Linked DNA regions of Oryctolagus cuniculus. The protein of the gene in region 1 interacts with the protein of each later gene in a pairwise test. Links are inferred from orthologs where the notes say so. Each region holds a gene or a part of one and is shown in the gene's direction. Other genes may lie near its edges. The genes, in order: L3MBTL2, BEND7, PAICS, TBC1D9B and PHF10.

Region 1 (4,745 bases):
GGAAGGCAGTGGAGGATGGCCCAAGTGCTTGGGCCCTGCACCTGCATGGGAGACCAGGAGGAAGCACCTGGCTCCTGGCTTCGGATCGGTGCATTGCACCAGCCGTATTGGCCATTTGGGGGGGTGAACCAATGGAAGGAAGACCTTTCTCTCTCTCTCTCTCTCTCTCACTGTCTAACTCTGCCTGTCCAAAAAAAAAAAAAAAAAATCTTCAAAGGTTTCCCACCACATCTCCTGCTAACCATTGCTGTTCTCCATCTTACTCTCTAAATTCCAGGTCTCTACCTGATAAGTCTTCCCCCACCCCCAACCACTCCTTTCTCCTAAAGGTCATCTTTTCATCCATCAAGGAAAGTAAGTTGCCTACCCAGCAAGCCTTTTTCCCCCTAATCTCCCTCTCAATGAGTTCCCTTCCCTATTCTCCATCACAGCGCCCTGCTAAATTCCTTCTCAGTGGGAACTGGATGCTGTTGACTGAGTCTTCACTGTCTCCCTACAGGGGTCAGCTCCCTGAAAACAGAGATGTTCATTTGTGTTTCCCCAGTCCAGCATGTAGTAGGTATTAAATAAATACATGATGAAAAATATGACATCATTAGTAGATTGTCTGCCTGTGAGATTCATTGTTACACTTTTTAAAATCTATTTTTAACATATTTATATTGATTTGAAAAGCAGAGAAACAGATATCCTCCAAGCACTGGTTCACTCCCCAAATGTCCCCAAACCAGAAGAGCAGAACTCAGTCAGAGCCTTCCACGTGGGCGGCAGACTCAGTACGTGAGCCATCACCTGCTGCCTCTGAGGGTTCATGTTGATAGGAAGTTAGCATGGGGAGCAAAGCCATGATATGGGATGTGGGCATCCCAAGCAGTAGATGCCTTAACTGCTGCACCAGATGTCCATCCCCATTTTTTAAATATTAATAGGGGCAGGTGTTATGACTTAGAGAGGAAAAGGGTGGGCATTTGGAACAGAGTTTAAGTCGCTGGCATCCCCTTACCAGAGTGCTGGTTGAGTCCCAGCTGCTTAGCTTCTGATCCAGCTTCCTACAAATCCAGTCTGAGAGGCAGCAGATGGTGGCTCAAGAACTTGGATTCTTGCCACCCACGTGAGAGACCTGAATGGAGTTTCAGTCTCTTAGCTGTCACCTGCCCCAGCCACAGCTGCTGGAGGCATTTGGGGAATGAACCAGCAAATGGCAGCGGTCGCTCGCTCCTTCTCTCCCTCCCTCTCAAACAAAACGAGAATGAATATATATGAATTTTTTTAAAAAAAGAGGCCAATAGAGAGGAAGGCACAATGAGAACAGTCAAGGTGGGGATTTCCACGCTAGGGCACTACCCTTCGCGCACACCCGAAGGAAACTACAAGACCCACAATCGCCCGCGGCTTTCCCCGCCCCGGGGGAGGCGGAGCACGGGCGGGCGCGGAACCGGCTTTTCCTCTACCCGGAAGCCTGATTGGTCCGCGGCTCAGGGAGCTGGCCAATGAGTGCGCTCGGGGAGAGCGCTGAGGCCAATATGGCTTCCTACACCTGGTGACGGTTTGAGAAACTAAGTCTCATGGAGAAACCACGGGGCGCTGAGGTGAGAGGGAGAGGACCTAGCGCGACTGGGCGAGGGAACCCCGAGCGCGTCGCTCCATGGGCCCGTCTCTCTTAGCGACGCCTCGAGGGTGGAAGGGGGAAGGATGGGTAAACTGAGGTAGGCGGGCTGAGCCAGGGCCAGAGGCGATCCGCGGTCCGTTTTGCTTCGGTAGTGCTGGGACCCGCGTCTGGCGAGGAGTTCAGGGCGGAACAGCCTCCCTCGCTGGGGGGAAGCGGAACTGCGCCCCAGGACGGAGAACGCCTGGATCCTCTTTGTCCTCCTGGTCTCGTGGCCGTGTTCCTCTGCGATCGCGGTGCCCGTCACGTCCAGGGCGGGGGAGGGAGACTCGAGTTGAGCGAACGTTGCTCCGCGCCTGGAGCTTGCACGGGCTTCGTGTTTATGGCTGAAGCAGCGGAGGCGCAGGGAGCTGGTGCGACTCCCCGGGGACGTGCACACAGCTCGAGATGAAGGAAGTGGGTGCGGAGTCTGTCAGCCTGCAACACCTGGCCGGCTAGGTTTTATCTACCCCACTATGACCTGCAACCCACCCCCTCATCCTTTGGCTTCTGGACCCCTTAGGGTACTGGAATCGGCTTCCGTTCTAGCGTGTGTCTATGTACAGCTGCAAATAGAGAGTGTACTACCTCCAAAATTCGATGATGGTAAAGGAGACTGTTAAAACGTGGAGTAAGAGTAATAGCTTATACGGTGAGCGCTTACCCTCTGCCGGAAATAGAACCAGGTTTCACCCATCTCAGTGCCCCCAACAGTCCGCTAAAGGCTTGTTATTACCCGCATTGTATTGATGAAGAAAACGGAAAATCACACAGTTGAGAAGTGCAACAGCCAGCATTCACACCCACGCGTATCTGATCTGAGCGCCCATGCTTTTCGCCAACATTATGGAGCACTCGAGTCACTGTTCTAGGTGCTTCAGCTCCATTAACTCTTACTTCTCCCGCAAATCCTGTGAAGTAGGGGGTATTATCCTCCTTTTACAGACGTGGAAACTAAGGCACTGCGATTCCGGCTTGCCGTGGGTCACATGCCAGTAATCGCCAGCGCTGGCACTTCAGCTCTAGGTCAGAGCCCAGGCCTTCAGCTTGCTACATACCTTTTAAACTACCTGTTAGGCAGATTCATATACGGTAGCCCCACAGTCATGAGGCAAACAACCCATACTGCACAGTGTGCCGTACTACCAAGCTGTGGTGTGCGTAGATTACGTAATTTAAACCCATCTTTGACTTGTTGTGTTTTCAACTTACAGTGAGTTTATGAGGACAAAACCCCATCATGAGTTTAGAATTCATGTTAATACAACATTTGTAAATCCACAGAGGAGCCTGGTGAATATTTCTGTCTTGTTAATGCCATTCTGTTGAGTTATGGTAGAGAAATGTTATGCAAACAGTAATCCTGATGTTTGCAGAAAGGGTATTTGGAAGATTCCCCGAAGTGTGGACTTGGCAGAGAACCAGCAGGAGACTGAGTAGCACATCTGCAGCCCCTCCTGACGCACCAAAGCCCTTCTGTCTGGTTTGTGTCATCCGTCCTCTAGGAGACCCCGTCTTCGGAACCAATGGAGGAAGAAGAGGAAGACGGCGACTTGGAGCTGTTTGGTGGCTATGACAGTTTCCGGAGTTATAACAGCAGTGTGGGCAGTGAGAGCAGCTCCTATCTGGAGGAGTCGAGTGAGCCAGAGAATGAGGATCGAGAAGCCGGGGAGCTGCCCACCTCCCCTCTGCACCTGCTGAGCCCTGGGACTCCGCGCTCCATGGATGGCAGTGGTTCTGAGCCAGGTGCCTTCAGAATGTGTCCTGAAGATGGAGAGGAGTCAGGAGGTCATGGAGGAATAGGGGGATGGATACAGGGCTTTCTGCTCATGTCCAAAGACCTGAGAGAGACAGACGCAGCCCGAGCAGCCGCAAGGGACGTTTCCTGTGCGGCAGTCCGGATGCAGATCGCGATTGCGTTCTTTCACACAGCTGATGTTCCCTCGGCACTCTTAGATGCCCGTCAGTGCCATGGTGCTGCCTCTGCATTTGTGTAAGCAGGCCGTTGACTTCTAAGCCTGGATATTTAGAGGACAGGAAAGCTTGAAGGGCTGTGGTCACTTACCAGGGACAAGAAATAGCTTGCGGGTTGCCAGTTAGGCGATGGGAGGGGAAATAGAGAATAACGTGACCTCTGGGTACGAGGAATGGGGTGGGGGTGGGCAGTAGGAGTCCCCGAGGGTCATCTGGAAGCCAGGTGGCTTTGGAGCTAGCTGTGGTCCTTGGACGGGGTCTGGGCCCTCCCTGTGTCAGGGCCGCCTGTGTGACGACACTCCCGTTCCCTGGGAGGTAAACTCTTCAGAAGTGCGATAGTCTGCCTTTGAATCTTACTTCCTTTCTGTTCATCTTGTCTTCTCATCCTCTCTCCTCTCTCGTCTTTCTCCCTTCTGTCTTCCTCCAGCCCTTCCCGTAGAACCTTAGAACCTTAGAACTAGAAGCGACCAGTAGAGACCAGTTGTGGCCCTGGCTGCACATTGGAATCCCACAGGGGATGCCCGACACACTGCAGATGGCGGTGCCCCGGTGCAGACCAGTTCCGTAGAATGCCTGGCGTGGGCAAGCGTTTAAGCTCCCCAGGTGTCTGTAATGTGAAGTCAGGGTTGAAACGCTGACCCAGCTCAGTCTCTTTACTGTATCCATGAGATAATGGAGCCACAAGGATTGAGCGACTTGGGCACTTCTACCTAATACATGTTTTTCTCTTTGACTTCTCTGTCTTGAAAACTTCCTCACTGACCTGTTTCCCCAGTTGTCTTTCTGAAGTTCCCTTAGCCCCGCTGTTACACACACAGCCCAGGGAGGCCGGGCAGCCTCGCTTAGGTGAGGTCCGTTCAGATGTGTTCAGTGTGGCCTCCGCCTCCTCCTCCTCCACCACCTCCTCCTCCTCCTCTTGTGTCAGCCTTAGTGAGGGCTGGCACTCACCTGGTTAGTGCAATGTCCCAGGTATTGAAGGCCTCATTGGGTTTGATTTGGGGCGACCGTACCAGGTGAGTCATGTGCTAAGTTCTCTTCCCAGCTGTCTGTGAGATGTGCGGTATCGTGGGCACAAGGGAAGCCTTCTTCTCCAAGACCAAGAGGTTCTGCAGCGTCTCCTGCTCCA
Region 2 (4,142 bases), on another chromosome or scaffold:
GTCATGTAGGACTTTCAAGCCCAGAGTCCTAAGATGCTGGCGATGCGAGAGTGGAAACTTAATCAATTACAGTGTCTAGGGGGTGGGAGCGTGCTCTTGGATGGCAGTTACAAAGGCCTGGGCTTTGCTTCCTGGCTCACTCTGTGATCCTCCCTCTGCTTGCATTCCATTCACCTGCCGCCCTCACCAGAGGCCAGGCCAGTGAGGCTGCCCAGACTTGGAGAACCTTCGAAGCTGTGAGCTAAATAAACCTTTTTTCTCTCTTTCTCTCTCTTTTTTTAAAGATTTATTTATTTATTTGAAAGGCAGAGAGAGAGAGAGAGAATCTTCTATCCAATGCTTCACTCCCCAGATGGCTGCAATGGCCAGAGCTGTGCCCATCGGAAGCCAGGAGCCAGGAGCTTCTTCTTGGTCTTGCACACGGGTGCAGGGGCCCAAGGACTTGGGCCATCTTCTACTGCTTTCCCAGGCCATAGCAGAGAGCTGGATCAGAAGTAGAGCAGCTGGGACTTGAACCGGCACCCATATGGGATGCTGGCACTGCAGACAGCTGCTTTACCTGCTGGGCCACAGCGCCAGCCCCCACCTTTTCTCTTTACAGTTCCCTCAGCTATGCTGTTATAGTAATGAAAAGCTAATACAATCATCTACCTGTTCAAATTCACTCAAACCAATTAGAAGAAAATGTTTTCTAAATATAAAATTAACATTACTTGTAAAACATGTACTATAATTTAAAACTGCAAAGAATAAAATTTAAAATACCTAAAGCTTTTCCTCCACAGTGAAACAATTACACAATTCAGTTTTTTTATTGTTTAAGGTATATCAACTTCATGCATTTCATATATACAAATTTAGGAACAGAGTGATTCTTCCCACCCTACCCCCCTCCTCCCTGCCCATACTCCCACCCTTCATCTTCCTCCCCCTCCTGTTCCCACTCTTGATTTTTACAAAGACCTATTTTCAGTTAACTTTATACTCATAAGATTAACCCTACACTAAGTAAAGAGTTCAACAAATGTTATGAAGAAAAAAAAAAACACAGTCACAAAATTCTATCATGCGGTTTATTATTTGACATGAACATGTTTCCTAGTATGTATTCATCTACAACCTCATTTTTAGCAGTTTCTACTCTTGTTCCCCCAAAACTGGTTTAGAATATCCCATGTCTTCCCTTCATGGTGACTCTGACTGGTCTACAGAGAATAGGTCTTTCAGTAGGGCCAGTGTGTATCCGCCTGAAGACAAGACCTTAGAGGACAAAGCATCTGGGGAAAGGTTTGACCATTTCTGGCCACATGGAAGCCCTCTTCCAAGCAACAACAACTAAAGGGACAGTATTCGCTTGCTTTCCGGTGGTTCTCACGTTCCTGTGTAGGATCAACAGAGAACTTCCAAAGGGGACCCTGGCCCTGGGACGTAGCAGGTGCCATCAGTTATCTCCGTGGCTGTGATGCAGTGTTTCTCCCTGTCCCCCGCAGGTTAGGGGGGACTCACAGGCACGCCATTTATCAGGAGACTTAAACGTCCTCTTTTGTTAGCATTTAGCCTAAGATTTTTGGTGACTCCTAAGGAGATTGAAATGTATATCAGAAAGGAGCAAAAGTTTGCATTTTGAAAGCAGAAATGAAGAACCTGAGGGCAGGCCTCGTGGCACAGACTCCCACATCCCACACTGGAGTGCCAGTTCACACTTCCAGTCAGCTTCGTGCTAATGCATGCTGAGAGGCAGTGGATGAGGGCCCAAGTACTTGCCACCTACATGGGAGACCCAGATGGAGTTCTGGGCTCCTGGCTTCTGCCTGGCAGAACCCTGGCCATTGTAACCATTTCAGGATTGAACCACTGCATGGAAGAGCAAGATGCTTGCTCAAATGAAATGGTTTTAAAATATATATGAAAAAAGAAAAGAAACATGCATTTCCTCTTTATGCCCACATTAGATTGGCAGCTGTAGGATCGGGATTTTCAGTCTTCTTAGGGTTTCCCACAGCTGTGTGTCAGGAGTGGTTGTGGGAATGACACATGGAATTCACTGACCTGCACACCTTCAATGACTACATCCAACAGTCCACCTCGGAGGCAGTCGGATGTTTAAGTCTACGTAAACAAGGAAAAACGAACTGAAATCCTTACTGACAGAATAAGGATTCTGATGTTAAAAAATGAATTTTAATACAGGGAAATTGATTTTATATCACTGTCATCATCAAAAGTATTTAAATGATGATACTAAAATCTGGAATGTGAACCAGCTGAAGCTGAAGAGAGAGCGAGACACTGTTGTGTATCCTGGAGTCTTTAAATTGTATTACTGTATTCAGTAAAATGAATGTGCTCCCTGAAACTAATGAGATTTGTGTTTTCTGCTTGTAACCAGCAGAGGTGGCTGACGGTGATGAAAGGCTGGACAGCATTTCTCTACCACCAACAGGTAAAACACATTTACATTTTCATCACCCGCTGCCAAATGCAGCCACAACAATATTTGCATTGAAAATGCTTGTAACATTAGACACGCAGATGCTTGAGCACACTGCTGCTGTAACAGACCCAGGCCTCCTCAGCAGAGCTTCCCAAGCCCTGTGTTCAGAGGGTTGTTTTTTTTTTTTTTAACATGTAATATAAGAAGCATGGAATGTTGTATTTTTCTTACATTCTGCTTCCTAGTCTTAAAAATCTCAGAAGAACAGATCCTAAGAGCTTCGTATTACAACATGTTGATTCCTTAAGCCTTTAAACATTAAAAATTATTTTAACACGAAGTGAAATTTCACTTTAGAATGAGAATCGTGCATTTCGTGTGATGACATGCATGCTTTTTCTGTCTTCTCCCACTTCTTCCAAAAGGCCTCCAACAGGCGATCGGTTCTTTCTATGCTGGATACCCAGTGACTCTTGAGTTTTAATTGAGTGATTAAATAAAGCAGTCCATCCAGCGTGAGTGACACATTCCCGGGACTGTTAACCAGAGCAGCCAAATACAAGCTTACATTGGTGCCTTTGCTACACAATTGTGTTAAACTACAGACAGAATTCTGATTTGACATTATTCAGCTCTCACGTAGTAACTCTGGCCCCGGCCTCCTGCCCGTGTGTTGGTCATTTCTGAGAGCAGGAGGAACAGGTGTCTGATCAATGAGCCGTGTGTCAAACAATTTATTCCCTCACTTGGCCTCAGGAATCCTTATTGACTGCCCTTAAAAGAATACCTGACGACTGCCGACAAAATCCAGGCACCCTAAAAAGCCTTCCAACTGAAAAAAACCAACTTGGTGTTTTTTCCTCTAGATTTAGGGTGGTATTTTTTAAATTAAATTCGGCAATTATTAGTAGAGTAACTAGTGTGAGTAGGTCATGCGTTTATTGACAGTACACATCCCAAGATGGCAATGAAAGCAGAGTCCATATGCTGGTGGACGTCAGAGCACCAAGCAACTCTGCCATGTAGATAATGCATTGCTTTCTCGGCCCCACAGTAGCTAAGCAGCAGATCAATGGGCAAATAAATGAAACAAACCACATAGTGCAAAAAGGACCTGCTTGTATCTAGTTCTCAGCCATATATGACCACTACTTAAAAGGGATTTCTCTCCTTGTTTGGCTCTTTCCACATTTGTGAATTAAGAGAATGGAAACATGAGGTCTCTGTTGTTCCTTCCCAATCTGTCAGCCTCTGAATATCAGGACAACGCATTTCCGCCTGATTCTTTTCAGCCCTGGCGTGGAACAGTGGGCTTTCCTAGTTGTGTTTCCTCCCCAGGGTGTCCCTGCTGTTCCTAGCTGCCTCCTGAGCATCCTCCCTTCCTGTCCTTTCTTCTGTCTTACCATGGGGCTCTTTGAAATAATACTTCCACATGTTCCTGTGTGAAGAGGGAAGCAGAGGTGCTTCGGCTGAGAAAAACTGAGCCCAGGGGATGCTGGGACAGCCTCCCGCAACTGAAAAGAGTTGCAAGGACTCTGAGAATGAGAAGGAACTTGAGAGATCCTGTCGTCCAGTCCCTTCTTTTTATCCAGTCCTTTTATTTTACAGGAAAAAAGCCTGAGGTCCAGAAACATTAAATGACTTTCCCAAGGTCTCACAGGCGGCTGATGGCCTGGCCGGAACCCAGGCCCCTCGACTCCCAGCCATT
Region 3 (4,585 bases), on another chromosome or scaffold:
CGCAGCTAAGTCAGAAGGAACGTAAGGGTCACGGAGGCGAAGTTGGGTCTTAACTGGAGGGGCTCTCCCAGCTTTCCGATTTCCATGTGGCTCGTCCTGACGCGGGAGCACCAGCCCCACTCCTCACTCCCCCTTTCCAGGGAAGCTCATTTTGGCATCTCCCTAGCTCGCTCGTGCGTCCCCTCCACAGGTTACTCCAAGTCTCCCGGATCCGGACGCCGGGACCCCCTCCTCCCCTCCAGTTCCCACTGCTGTGACTACTCTCAAACCCACCACCGGCTCCAGGGCTGTGTCCTGGAAACAAAAGCTTGTGCTGGTCGTCGGACCGGGTCCGGGCACCTCCCGGCACGAGCCTACCCCGCGAGCAGCCCCACGTTCGGGGGGCGCCAGAACCCGCAGGCAGTCGGGGACGAGCCTAGCGGAACCTCAGAAGCTGGCGGGACTCGGAGGGGAGTGAGGGCCCCAAAAGGCAAGAGGCACGGGACTGTGTGCGTTAACGTCCCGGGGCGTGCCACGGGCAGGTGCACGTCCAGGTAACGGAGGCCAGGGCTCCGGGCCCTCGAGCGCTCGCGAGAGGCACCGCCACCCCCGCCCTCCCCGCGCGGCTCACCGGTGCTGCAGCCCCACGAGTCCCAGCGTGATCACATGCGGCACATCCAGCTGCGTGGGCCACTCTCCTGAGGCGATGCACCCGAACACGCCACATTCCTCTCGGATTCCTAACTCTTCCAGCTCCATGTCGCCGCCGAAAGCACGTGGAGGAAGCTGCAGCCGCGGCCCGGGTCGGCGCACCAACCAGCTGCAGCCTTGAAACCAACGCCTCAGAAGACCGCGCCGGAGACAGCGGCTTCCTCCCCAGCACCGAGCGTCTGCTCGCTACTGCGGCGGCGCGTGCTGTCCCCGCCCCCTCCGTGGGCGGGGCCGCAGCCCCCGCGTCCCGCCCCCCACAGGGCCCGCCAATGAGTGAGGGCAGAGAGCGAGGCTCCGCGGCCGAGGGGAGGAGTCCCGCATACAGTAGGGGTGGAGCTACTCCTCCCCCACCCCCGGAGACGCCCGGACAGTATACTCTCCCGCACGTGGAAATCTCCGTTACTCTCTAGTCCTCAATGCTGGGGTGACGAGAATAACGGGGTTAGCATCCTGGCCCTCGCCCAAGAGGCACACGTCGCGCGCCCCTCCGCACGTGCCTTCCCCCGGCCGGGACGACTTGGTACGCTCCAAGCCCTGACCGGCTTCCTCCGGCTCCGAGGGGCCCCAGCCTGCGGTCGGCGCGGAGCGGGGAGGGGCCGCCAGCGCGCGCCACTTTCCGGCTCCCCGGGAACGCCGCCCGGGGGCGGGGTCGCGCCGGCGCGCCTGCGCGGCGGGAAGCCCCGGGCAGAGACCCTGCCGCGTGCATTCGCACGTAGATCGCGGTCGGCCGAGCTGCGCGGCGGCGGCCGCCGACTCTGCGAGAGCCCCGCCTCCGCGGCCCGCGCGCTGCGCCTCTCGGCCTCTTTTCCAGATTTGTGCGGCCCTTGGTCCACTCGGGATAATGGCGACGGCCGAGGGTGAGTGGCGGGCGCCCGGGGCCGGCCCGGCGGCTGAGGTGGCCGAGGCGGCTGAGGCGGCCGGGCTCTGGGCGGACGCACACGTGGCCCGAGCGCCCGGAGCGCGGGACGCGGTGGCGAGGGGCGAGCGTGGGGCGGGTCCCTGGGACAAAAGGCGGTCGGAAGCGCTCTGGTCATGAATAGCTATTGCAAAGCAACTGCTTGAAATTCTGGTGCTGACTTCAAACCCTAGAGTCTTGGTTGTTCCAGGTTCTTGATTAAACTGAAAATCTGGCCAGGTTTTGTGCAGTTTGGTCTTTTTTTTTTTTTTTTTTTTTACTTTTTAAAGCAGTCTTTGATGGCTTTGCTGAGTTCCAAAACCTGCAGGCAAAAACAAAAAAAAAAAAGGGTTGCTAGCTTCATTTTGCATTTACCGCATTTACGTCGTAGCGGTAACCTTTGCGCTCAGGTCGACTGGAACGATGGTTCTTGCCGTGGATGTGGAATCGGACGTGATACGATGTTTCCGACAAATACGCAGTGAACCAGATGGCCTGTGTCATCCGCCAGTACATTCTTTTTGCACGTAGGAGACAAACTGGATTTAGATCAGAGAGTTGTAAGCTGGGGCCGGCGTGATGGCGAAGGTTCGAGTCCTGGCCCGGGAAAGCAGCAGAGGATGGCCCGAGGGACTGGGCCCCTGCGCCCACGTGGGAGGCCTGGATAGGGCTCCTGGCTTGGCGGTTGCGGCCAGCTGGGGAGTGAGCCATCGTAAAAAGAGCGTTGTAAACTCACCGGGAAGAGCCGATTCCTTCAGCCATCCTTAGTCCTCATCAGCCTCTTCTGAACTCTTCTGCAAAGTTACAGCATTTTGATAATTGCGCAACCGCTCCATAAAACCAAGGGCTGGCCAGTTTTTCCTGCAGTCAGGGTGCCTGAACCTGGTGGGACCTCTCAAGGTTTTGTTCCAGCACTTACATCTTGGATACCAGTGGCAGGTTAGCTTTCCCAGAATGAAGGCCCGTCTTGGTCAGAAAAATGCTCAGTGGCTTCCCTGGAGCTGTTGCAGCCTGTTCCTAAGTTCCTGTGATTGGAACCCTGCGTAAAGCTGTCCTTCCTACCTCTTCCACCCTAATTTGTCTTGGTAGGAATCCTTACCCTACATTCCAGTGAGTTTAATTCACAGAGGTCACATTTTATTTTTTCTTTTTGTTATTGTTGTTCTAGAACAATGCTGGCTAAAAGAAATATAAAGTGAACCATATACATAAATTTGTTTTTTAACAGCCCTCTTTCTGAAGTTTTTTATAAATTTGGTAAAATGAGTTTTAATGGCTTTTATTTAACCCAGGATATCCCAAATATGAACATTTCAACATGTGATTTATAGAAAAAATTCCTTGAGGTATTTTGCATCCTTTTTTTTTCCACGTTGAGTGTGGTGTGTAGTTTATACATAAATCACATCTCAGTTTGGAGTCATCATGTTTCAAGTGTTTGATGATTGCCTGGTAAAGTTCTTTTCTATGGAAATTCTATGCTTTTGATAACTTTTAAATTTCAGTTCCATGAGCCATTCTCAGTCCTTCTCAGTCTCTTCTGAACTCATCTAATAATTGACAGCATTTTGGCACTTTGAGCAAGTGTCCGGATGGTTGAGTCTACCCATTGCCATTGCTGTCCTATTTCATGACTGGGCAATAAGCAGAGATTGAACCATTCTTGCTTCCTATAGCTCTTTTGTCCACCACACTGAATCGGTTCTCTCTCTCTCTCAAACATCTTGCCTCTTCTCCCACTGCTTTTCCCTTAGACTGTGACATTTCTTGCCTGGGTTGCTGCAGTAGCAGCAGCTTCCTAACGGGTCTCCCAGAGTCTGGTTTTGTTCCAACCATGCCTTCGTTCTCCACACAGCAACCACAAGGATCTTTCTGGAATGCAAATCTAGCATTTCACTACAGAGCTTAAAAGCCCTATCTATGGTTGTTCCTAGGATAAAGTCAGCTCAATCAACTTGGCCTACAAGGCCTGAGGAAATGGAAGAGAAAGGAACAGAAGTGGGCAGGAGGGGGATAAGAATTCCATGGAAGAAGTTGGAACGCTAGGCAGGGACTGGAGAAATAAGTATAGAGCACTAAACTGGGGCTGTATGCTGGAGGGTTTGTTTTTTATCTGCAAGAGGGTGAGCAGGCTCTCGCAGGTGCTGTTTCACTCCTACATGCCTGCAGCTAGGAGCCATGGACTCAAGCCAGGTCTTCTCCATGGGTGACAGGAACCGGATTACTTGAGCCATCACCACTGCCTCCCAGGGTCTGCACTGGCAGGAAGTGAGAGCCGGGGGTGGAACCCAGGAGCTCTTGATGTGAGAAGGGGGTATCTTTGCTAGGCCAAGTGCCTGCTCCCCGCTGCAGGGTTTTTTAAGCCTGTTGCTGAGTCTGGTGGATAGTATGTTAGGAGGATACAGATTCATCCTCTAAATTAGGTGCCCTAGGGTAGCAGCTATTGTGCTGAGCTGTCGCTAGTGCTTGCCTCTGCCAGCTGCTAATGTGAGCCCTGCACAAGTCTTGGGTCTCGCTTCCTGCTGTCCCCGTGGCGAGGGACCTGCACCCACAGCGCTGGTGCTGCAGCCACACTGCAGTTCTGCTGAACACTCTGCACCTTCATTTAGCCACCACCACCAGTCCCTCCCTTTCTTCCTGGCTAAATTTTGATCATTCTTCAGATATCTACCTAGTTGTCACTTTCTTCTAGACTCCTTCTCTGCTGTCTAAAGTAGTTTAGGTAGGTGGCACTGCTATGAACATGTGTTTCCACAATCTGTGGTTATTGCATTAACTTCCTGTGATGCTGTGTGTAGTATCACCCTGGGTCCTACGAGAGCAGGAGCTGTGTCTCCTGCGCCCATAGATCCCCAGTGCCTGGCAGTGGGTGCGCTCAAAAAGTGCTGATGTCAGAATGAATCCAGCTCCAGGAGCAGGAGGGTGAGCGCCCTTCTGGGAATGTTTAAGTCCTCAAACTTCGTCACCTGTGTCATCATCTGTCTTTCTCATGATTAGGAT
Region 4 (4,142 bases), on another chromosome or scaffold:
TCTCTGGTGAGCATGGTCCCGTGGCTCATAGACTCGGCTCAGCCAGGCACAGTCCCCAGAGCTCTCCTCACATGAGCCCACCCAGCACTAGGGTTGCCCTCCCAAGGTTGGACAGGCTCCGGCATGTCGGCCATCTGAACTTCCCCGGGCAAAGTGGCTTCCTCCCCTGCAGCGGTTACCTAGGAAATGGCCTCACACCTTGTAACAGACCCCAGAGTCCCACCCCTCCTCACTGGGGCATTGATGCACCCAGCCTGCCCTGTTATTGCCACCAGAGTGCCAGTAGGGGCAGGAGAGACAGCTGCCCCCTGTTTCTCCCCAGGGGCCTGGAATGAGATGGTGACTCACCCCGGCTACTACGCTGAGCTGGTGGAGAAGTCCATGGGGAAGTACAGCCTGGCCACGGAGGAGATCGAGCGAGACCTCCACCGCTCCATGCCCGAGCACCCCGCCTTCCAAAACGAACTTGGCATCGCTGCGCTCCGGCGGGTGCTGACTGCCTACGCCTTCCGAAACCCCACCATCGGCTACTGCCAGGTAAAGGGGCTTAGTGGGGCTCAGAAGAAGCGTCTCTCCGCCGACCAGAGGCTTGCAGGAACAGGTGCTGGGCCCTGGACCTGTGTGGTGGCCTCACGCACCTGTGACAGTGCCCTGTGACCCCAGGAAGGAGCCCAGGAAGGCCACAGGGCAGATGTAACTTAGAAACAGTAGCAATCACCCATCTCATCCCCATGTCATGTGTTGTCGTCTTTGTGCTTCTAGTCTTTGTGCTTCTATTCTTGGTCCTGCGTTTGACTTAAAAAAAAAAAAAAAAAAAGTGCTGCGCTACCCTGGAGGTGGCTCACACATCTTTTTTTTTTTTTTTAAGATTTATTTATTTATTTTAAAGTCAGAGTTACACAGAGAGAGAAGAGACAGAGAGGGAGAGATAGGTCTTCCATCCACTGGTTCACTCCCCAATTGGCCACAATGGCCAGAGCTGCGCTGATCCGAAGCCAGGAGCCAGGAGTTTCTGGGTCTGCCATGCAGGTGCAGAGGCCCAAGGACTTGGGCCATCTTCCACTGCTTTCCCAGGCCATAGCAGAGAGCTGGATCGGAAGAGGAGCAGCTGGGACTCGAACCAGCACCCATTTGGGATGCCAGTGCTTCAGGCCAGGGTGTTAACCCACTGCGCTACAGCACTGGCCCAACTTATTTTTTTTGTATGTGTGATAAAATATATAAGACATACAACTTACCATTTTAATCATTTTTGTTAAAAAAGTTATTAACCTATTTGAAAGACAAAGAGAAGGACAGAGAGAGCTAGAGATATCTTCCATCTACTGGTTGACTCCCAAGATGCCCGCAATAGCCAGGGCTGGGCCATGCTGAAGCCAGCAGCCAGGAACTCCCCTCTGAGTCTCTTACATGGATGTCAGAGGCCCAAGTATTTGGGCCATCTTCAGCTGCCCTCCCAGTTGCATTAGCAGGAAGCTGCATCAGAAGCAGAGTAGGGGCCGGCACTGTGGTGTAGTGGGTAAAGCTGCCGCCTGCAGTGCCAGCATCCCATATGGACACCAGTCCGAATCCTGGCTGCTCCACTCCCAATCCAGCTCTCTCCTGTGGCTTGGGAAAGCAGTAGATGATGGCGCAAGTCCTTGGGCCCCTGCACCAACGTGGGAGATCCAGAAGAATTTCTTGATGCCTGGCTCTGGGCTTCATATGGGTACAGCTCCAGCCATTGCAGCCATCTGGGGAGTGAACCAGCTGATGGAAGACCTCTCTCCCTCTCTCCCTCTGCCTCTCTGCAATTCTGCCTTCCAAATAAATAAGTAAATCTTTGCTGGTGCCGTGGTACAGTAGGTTAATCCTCTACCTGTGGCACCGGCACCAAAAAAAAAAAAAAAAAAAAGTACATCTTTTAAAAAAAACGAAGAAGAAGAAGGAGGAGGAGCAGCAAAGTAGCCAGGACTTGACCCAGCACTCCGATATAGGATGTTCATGTCACAAGCAGACGCTTAACCCCAGTGCCACAACGTAGGCCCCATTTCAATCATTTTTAAGCGTTCAGTTTAGTGGCATTAGGTACATTCACATTGTTGTGCATCCATCATCACCATCCATCCACAGGATGTTCTCACCTTGCCAAACTGAAGTTGTGTACCCATTAAACACTCTCTACGCCGCAGCCCCTGGCCACCACTGTCTCTGTTCTGTCTCCATGCATTTTGCTGTCCTGGACACCTCAGACCTCATGCAGTCTGTCCTTTTGTAACTGGTTTATCACACTGACCAGTGTCCAAGTTTCATCCATGCTGGTGCATGTTTCAGAACGTCTTTCCTTTTCTGTTTTTTCTTTATAAGATGTATTTATTTATTTAAAAGGTAGAGAGCTCTTCCATCTGCTGATTCATTCCCTAAATGGCCCCAGTGGGGTCAGCCAAAGCCAGGAGCCAGACTGTATTCCGGTCTCCAACATGGATGGCAGGGGCCCAAGTACTTGGACCATCTTCTGCTTTCCCAGGTGCATTAGCAAAGAGCTGGATTGGCAGTGGAGCAGCCAGTACTCAAACCAGTGATCACATAGGATGCCAGTGTTACAGGCAGAAGCTTAACCCTCTGTGCCACAGTGGGAGCCCCAATCTAGTTCCCTTTTTTTTTTTTTTTTAAATTACAGAGTTACTCATTTATTTGAAAGGCAGAGTTAGAGGGAGGGAAAGGGAAATAGAGATCTTCATTCCGCTACTGGTTCACTCTCAAATGGCCGTAACAGCCAGGACTGGGTCAGGCTGAAGCTAGGAGACAGGAGCTTCTTCCTACTCTCCCATGTGGGAGGCAGAGGCCCAAGCATTTGGGCCATCATTTGCTGCTTTCTCAGACCATTAGCTGAGACCTGGATCGGAAGTGGAGCATCCAGGACACAAACTGGCACCCATATGGGATGCTGGAGTCATAGGTGACAGTTTAACCTGCTATGCCACAATGCTGGCCCCAATTTATTTCCTTTTAAGTCTTGGTCATATTCTGATTTATATTCCATGTTTTCTTTGCCCATGCATCCCACTGGCGGACACCGGGGTTGCTCTGCCTTCTGGCTGCTGTGACAGCTGCCCACGTCCCTGCTTTCAGTTCTCGAGGGTGTGTCCTCAGAGGTGGTACTGCTGAGTCTCACGGTGGCCCTGTGCTGGACACCGCAAGAGCCTCCACACGGTGGCCCTGTGCTGGACGCCGTGGGAGCCTCCACACGTCACAGCAGCTGCACCTTCTGCATGCCCACCAAGCATTCCCAAGGGTTCTTCTTGCCAGCATTTGTTGTATTCTGTTGGGCTGTTGGCAGTGGCTATCACTGGGGATTTTAGATGCATTTCTGGCAATTTGGTTTTGAAATCTAGTGGCCATTGTCCTGGCCAGATCAAATGGTTTCTGTTTACCTTAAATTGCACTGGGATTTCAAGGAAGCCAACTGCTCACAATTTCTGTGTGCTGTATTACCAACTCACAGAGACCGGTGCAGTGTGCTTGAGGTCATTGTTAGGGCTGGCCTTGTGGCAAAGCTGTGCATCCCAAATCAGTACAGATTCGAGTCCCAGGTATTCCAGCTTCCTGCTGATGCACCTGGGAACGCAGCAGAAGATGACTGAAGTACTTGGGCCCCTGCCACCTATGTGGGAGGCCTAGCCATGTGGCCAGGCTTTCTGGCCCTGGTTTTGGCCTAGCCTACCCCCAGGGAAGATGGATTTCTCTCTCTCTTTCTCTCTCTCTCTCCCTTTCAAACAAATCTTTTAAAAATTAGTTTAAAAAAAAAGATAATTTTTAAAAACAAATTTGCCAGATAGCCGCTTCTTCCTGAGTCTTAGCATCAGCTACTGCAGTGCACGGCTATGGCCTGGCCACACAGCTCCTCCCCACCTGGAGGTCCTGCAGCTGGACCCTGCAGCTCAGCAGACACCACCACCCAAAAGAGTCCTTGCTGATGCCTGCCCTCCCTGTCCTCCCAGGGCCTTCTCACCTGGCCAGTGTGTTTCTGTCAAGTTGATTTCCTGCAAATTGCCTGCTGGAAGATTGCCCAGAGTGGGGCAGGCATGCCATTAGAGGAGGCCGGTGTTGGGAGGGGACATTTTATGTGTTGGCCAGCAGCGCAAGCTTCCCATCCACCGTCC
Region 5 (4,142 bases), on another chromosome or scaffold:
GCCACCTTGCTTTGGCCTCGTAAGTCTGAAAGTGCCACGTGAGTCTCCTTCTTCTTGGTTTATAGAAGGTGTTACTTCCAACGTGCCTTTTGCTTTGATACTTCAGATAATTGTTTCTCTTCCTATTACCTGTTTTATATTTTTTTGGCTTGTCACAACATCAAGCCATAACAGGCAAAGAATTTAAATACTTAAAAGAGCTTTCAAAATATCCTCAAAAATTAGAAGTGATAAGTTTGATGGAAGCCACATTGAAGACATAATGTGTATCTTTTGTGCTTAGCTTCAGTTACTATCCAGCAGAAAACCTGATAGAGTACAAGTGGCCACCTGATGAAGCCGGAGAGTACTACATGCTTCAGGAACAAGTCAGTGAATATTTGGGCGTGACCTCCTTTAAACGGAAATATCCAGGTACTTGAGTCTTAGCTGTGTGATAATGAAATCTAACTTCTTAACTAAGAGTAGTTTTTTATGATAGCTTATCAACCACTGAATTCTTGGATGTGGATTATTGGTAATATATATTTTATTCTTGTGCGCTCTGATTTTCATTTATTGGCATTCAGCTTCTCCACCTATTGATGTGTTATTATGTCTCACGAACTGATATAAAAGCAAAATGAGAAAGGGGACTTTCCTGGAGAAATTTAAGACAAAACCCATCTCTAGCCATGAGTTTGTTTTGCCACTGCTCCTTGACTTTAGGAATGAGTTAGTACAGAAGCCATGCTTGAGTTGCAGGAGGACTACCTTTGATGAATTGTTCCGTACAGTTATTTATGTTATCTTTGGGTTATTCTGTTTTCAGTTTTATTCCTTGAATTCAAACAATTTTTGTGTAGCCCCTTTAACAGTATTTGAGATACATGACATGAAGTACTTTTAAACAGAAAATTTTTAAGCTTTTGTAAGTTTTATAATGCATAATGCTTTACTGTTATTAATAGTCTTCTGTTCTTCCCTTTTGGAGATTTAGAGAGACGAGATTTGTCTCATAAGGAGAAACTGTACCTGAGAGAGTTAAACGTCATCACAGAAACTCAATGCACTCTAGGTAATAGAAGCTTGCTCTTTTTTTTTTTTTTTTAAAGATTTATTTATTTGAAAGGCAGAGTTACACAGAGAGAGAAGGAGAGGCAGAGAGAGAGAAAGAGGTTGTCCATCTACTGGTTTACTCCCAATTGGCTGCAATGGCTGATACTGCACCGATCTGAAGTCAGGAGCTTATTCTGGGTCTCCCATGTGGGTGCAGGGGCCCAAGGACTTGGGCCATCTTCTACTGCTTTCCCAGGCCACAGCAGAGAGCTGGGTTGGAAGTGGAGCAGCTGGGACTTGAACCAGCGCCCATATGGAATGCAGGCAGTGACTTTACCCACTATACTACAGCGCTGGCCCCAGAACCTATACTTTTAAAAAAATACCATGCAGGGTGCTGGTGCTGTCATGTAGCGGGACCCTGCACCTGTGCTGGAGACCCGGAAGAAGCTTCTGGCTCCTGGCTTTTGGCTGCAGATTGGTGCCACTCTAGCTGTTGTGGCCATCTGGGACGTGAACCAGCAGAGGGAAGGCCTGCCTCTCTCTCTGTCTCTCTCTCTCTCTCTCTTTCTTTCTCTTTCTCTTTCTCTTTTTCTCTCTGCCTGCCTGCCTCTGCCTCTCTGTAACTCTGCCTTCCAAATAAATCTTTAAAAAAAAGTATAGGTTCTTATCTCTTAAAAGGGAAATTTTGCTGAATATTCAGTTTTGTGTAATATTCTCCATACTTTATACTTTTCCTTTGATAAGCATTTTAATGTAGTGTATAGTGTGGCTCTTTTTTTCTTTTTTAAAAGACATTAATATAAATTATTTGAAAGGAGGAATTAGAGGGAGGGAGAGGCAGACACTGGCTCACTCCTCAAATGGTTCAAAGCCAGGAACACTGAATTCCATCCGGGTCTCCCTGTGGGTGGCAGGGTCCAAGCACTTGAGCCATCCTCCGCTGCTTTCCTAGAAGCATCAGCCGGGAGCTGGACGTGAAGTGGAGGAGCCAGGACTTGAACTGTCAGTTAACACAGGATGTTGGCATCAGCCCTGTGTGGCTCCTTTTCTGTGTGAATGCACGAGAGTTCATTTTAGCAGCTGAGTAAAATCTGACACTATCACGTTTTGAAAATTGTGTTCATGATGTGTGTATGCGCTGATGCTTTTGGTAAAGTTTGGGTTGATTATAATATTTCTGGTATGGAATTTGAAGGCTAGGAAAAACCAGTAGTTTGAAAAGCTTTTTTTTTTAACTGATATCCTGTATCCTGTTAGGAGTTAGACTGTATTGTTTTTGGCAGTTGTTTGTAGATAAAGGGATATATGCTTATATGAGGGTACTTCAAAAAGGTTTTGGATAATGAAATTAAAGGATAAGTTTATTTTGGTACAAAACAATTTTGAATTAATGCATGCTGAGGGTCTTCAAAAATTCCATGCAAAATGGGTGTTAAGAAAATACCATGCATGGGTTTCAAAATCTTTTGCATCCAAATAAATTTTATTGTCATTTCCTATGAACTTTTTGAAGTTCCTTTGTAGAATACATAGGATCTAAAAAACTCATTTGGTTGAAAATGGATTTATTTATTTGAGAGGCAGAGAGAGCAGACAGAGCTAGTGGAGCCGCAGCTGGGAGCCATGAACCCGTCCGCATCTCCCTGTTGGGGAGCAAGAGCCCAGTCGTGGGTGCTCTCCCTGCTGCCTCCCGGGCTGCGTGGCAGGAACCTGGATCAGGAGCAGAGCTGGGGTGGACAGGCTTCGGCACGGGACGTGGTCTCAGCTGGCATCTCAGCTGTGAGGCCAAATTCCCACCCCGATCTTGCTTTTTGGTTGCTTGATGTCATTATACTACAGGTACTACTTTTAGCTGTTTTAAAATAGTTTGCTTTGTTTGAAAACCTTCTAAATGTAGTTTGAAAGAGAGGCAAATTCAAGAGTGTTTTTGTTCCCTTGAGAGTTACTTTCTTTTTAAAAATTTTTCTAATACAGGTTTAACAGCATTGCGCAGTGATGAAGTGATTGATTTAATGATAAAAGAATATCCAGCCAAACATGCTGAATATTCTGTTATTCTGCAAGAAAAAGAGCGTCAGCGAATTACAGACCATTACAAAGAATATTCTGTGAGTGACTGGGAGTGACCACCGCGCCTTGTTTGGGTTTGGGAGGATGACATGTGACTTTCAACTGCACTGTTTCTGTTTCAGCAAATGCAACAGCAGAACACTCAGAAAGTCGAAGCCAGCAAAGTGCCTGAGTACATCAAGAAAGCGGCCAAGAAAGCAGCTGAGTTTAACAGCAATTTAAACCGGGAGCGCATGGAAGAGAGAAGAGCCTACTTTGACTTACAGACACATGTAGGGTGATTTAAGCTCAGGAGTCTCTGGGCCTAGCTCCTTGCTTGTCACTGCAGAGTGGCGTTACCCCCTTACTGTTTGTTATGCTACCTGTCCTCTTCCTCCCACTGGAACGTAGGAAGCCGTGTGTAGTTACGTGCCAGGGACACCCAGCCTGCTGTCTGGGGAGCTGTGTGCCCTTCATTGCGGCTCTGCTGAGTGAGACTGCAGTAGCTGCTTCTCATACTCTGTGTGTGTCCGAGGGTGTCAGAACTCTCCATGTGCCTTGATTTCTCAGTTCTGACCGCATGAGGTTGGGACTGGCGTCATCACCGTTTCATACGTGAAGAAGTTGAGCCTCAGAGGGGTTGTGTAAGCCGCCCGGCTCCTGTCCTCGTTATGTGGCGAGCGCGAGAGGCACTGCGCTTCTTGGGAATTGTGCTCACAGTCGAAGGCAGACAAGACCGTGCTGTGTCTAGCTGGGAAGCACAGGTCTCTGCTCCATGTTCCTTAAATCTGTAGCTGTCGTAAAGGGGGAAGGGCGCACGCAGTGGAGAGCAAATCGGCTTCCTTTCCCGAAGGAATTCCATGATTCTAGGCGTGGAATGAGCTCTGTGTTTTTGTTAACACAGGTCATCCAGGTGCCTCAAGGAAAGTACAAAGTGTTGCCTACTGAGCGAACAAAGGTCAGTTCTTACCCAGTGGCTCTCATCCCGGGACAGTTCCAGGAATATTACAAGAGGTATTCATTACCAGAGTTTTGGTTACCATTCGTATCAG

What was found.
Region 2: the proteins of L3MBTL2 (region 1) and BEND7 interact in binary tests that used the Homo sapiens proteins (3 or more experiments, as listed by UniProt). The two-hybrid records come from large-scale screens. The link is inferred for Oryctolagus cuniculus from reciprocal best matches to the Homo sapiens genes L3MBTL2 and BEND7.
Region 3: the proteins of L3MBTL2 (region 1) and PAICS interact in binary tests that used the Homo sapiens proteins (3 or more experiments, as listed by UniProt). The two-hybrid records come from large-scale screens. The link is inferred for Oryctolagus cuniculus from reciprocal best matches to the Homo sapiens genes L3MBTL2 and PAICS.
Region 4: the proteins of L3MBTL2 (region 1) and TBC1D9B interact in binary tests that used the Homo sapiens proteins (3 or more experiments, as listed by UniProt). The two-hybrid records come from large-scale screens. The link is inferred for Oryctolagus cuniculus from reciprocal best matches to the Homo sapiens genes L3MBTL2 and TBC1D9B.
Region 5: the proteins of L3MBTL2 (region 1) and PHF10 interact in binary tests that used the Homo sapiens proteins (3 or more experiments, as listed by UniProt). The two-hybrid records come from large-scale screens. The link is inferred for Oryctolagus cuniculus from reciprocal best matches to the Homo sapiens genes L3MBTL2 and PHF10.

Annotation. Positions count from the first base shown.
Region 1 is NC_091442.1:117,284,591-117,289,335, forward strand, and holds the start of L3MBTL2 (lethal(3)malignant brain tumor-like protein 2), read left to right. Parts: upstream 1-1,434; 5' UTR 1,435-1,565; coding exon 1,566-1,589; intron 1,590-3,021; exon of another isoform or gene 3,022-3,150; coding exon 3,151-3,391; exon of another isoform or gene 3,392-3,601; coding exon of another isoform or gene 3,602-3,638; intron 3,639-4,661; coding exon 4,662-4,745. UniProt on the Homo sapiens protein: Putative Polycomb group (PcG) protein. PcG proteins maintain the transcriptionally repressive state of genes, probably via a modification of chromatin, rendering it heritably changed in its expressibility.
Region 2 is NC_091444.1:69,235,847-69,239,988, forward strand, and holds the end of BEND7 (BEN domain-containing protein 7), read left to right. Parts: intron 1-2,389; coding exon 2,390-2,625; 3' UTR 2,626-3,569; downstream 3,570-4,142.
Region 3 is NC_091439.1:108,089,809-108,094,393, reverse strand, and holds the start of PAICS (bifunctional phosphoribosylaminoimidazole carboxylase/phosphoribosylaminoimidazole succinocarboxamide synthetase), read left to right. Parts: upstream 1-1,375; 5' UTR 1,376-1,531; coding exon 1,532-1,547; intron 1,548-4,585. Other genes in the region: PPAT (amidophosphoribosyltransferase), read right to left, coding at 611-738. UniProt on the Homo sapiens protein: Bifunctional phosphoribosylaminoimidazole carboxylase and phosphoribosylaminoimidazole succinocarboxamide synthetase catalyzing two reactions of the de novo purine biosynthetic pathway.
Region 4 is NC_091437.1:67,605,309-67,609,450, forward strand, and holds part of TBC1D9B (TBC1 domain family member 9B), read left to right. Parts: coding exon 1-6; intron 7-322; coding exon 323-537; intron 538-4,142. UniProt on the Homo sapiens protein: May act as a GTPase-activating protein for Rab family protein(s).
Region 5 is NC_091436.1:633,723-637,864, forward strand, and holds part of PHF10 (PHD finger protein 10), read left to right. Parts: intron 1-283; coding exon 284-414; intron 415-973; coding exon 974-1,057; intron 1,058-3,015; coding exon 3,016-3,149; intron 3,150-3,233; coding exon 3,234-3,383; intron 3,384-3,994; coding exon 3,995-4,104; intron 4,105-4,142. UniProt on the Homo sapiens protein: Involved in transcription activity regulation by chromatin remodeling. Belongs to the neural progenitors-specific chromatin remodeling complex (npBAF complex) and is required for the proliferation of neural progenitors.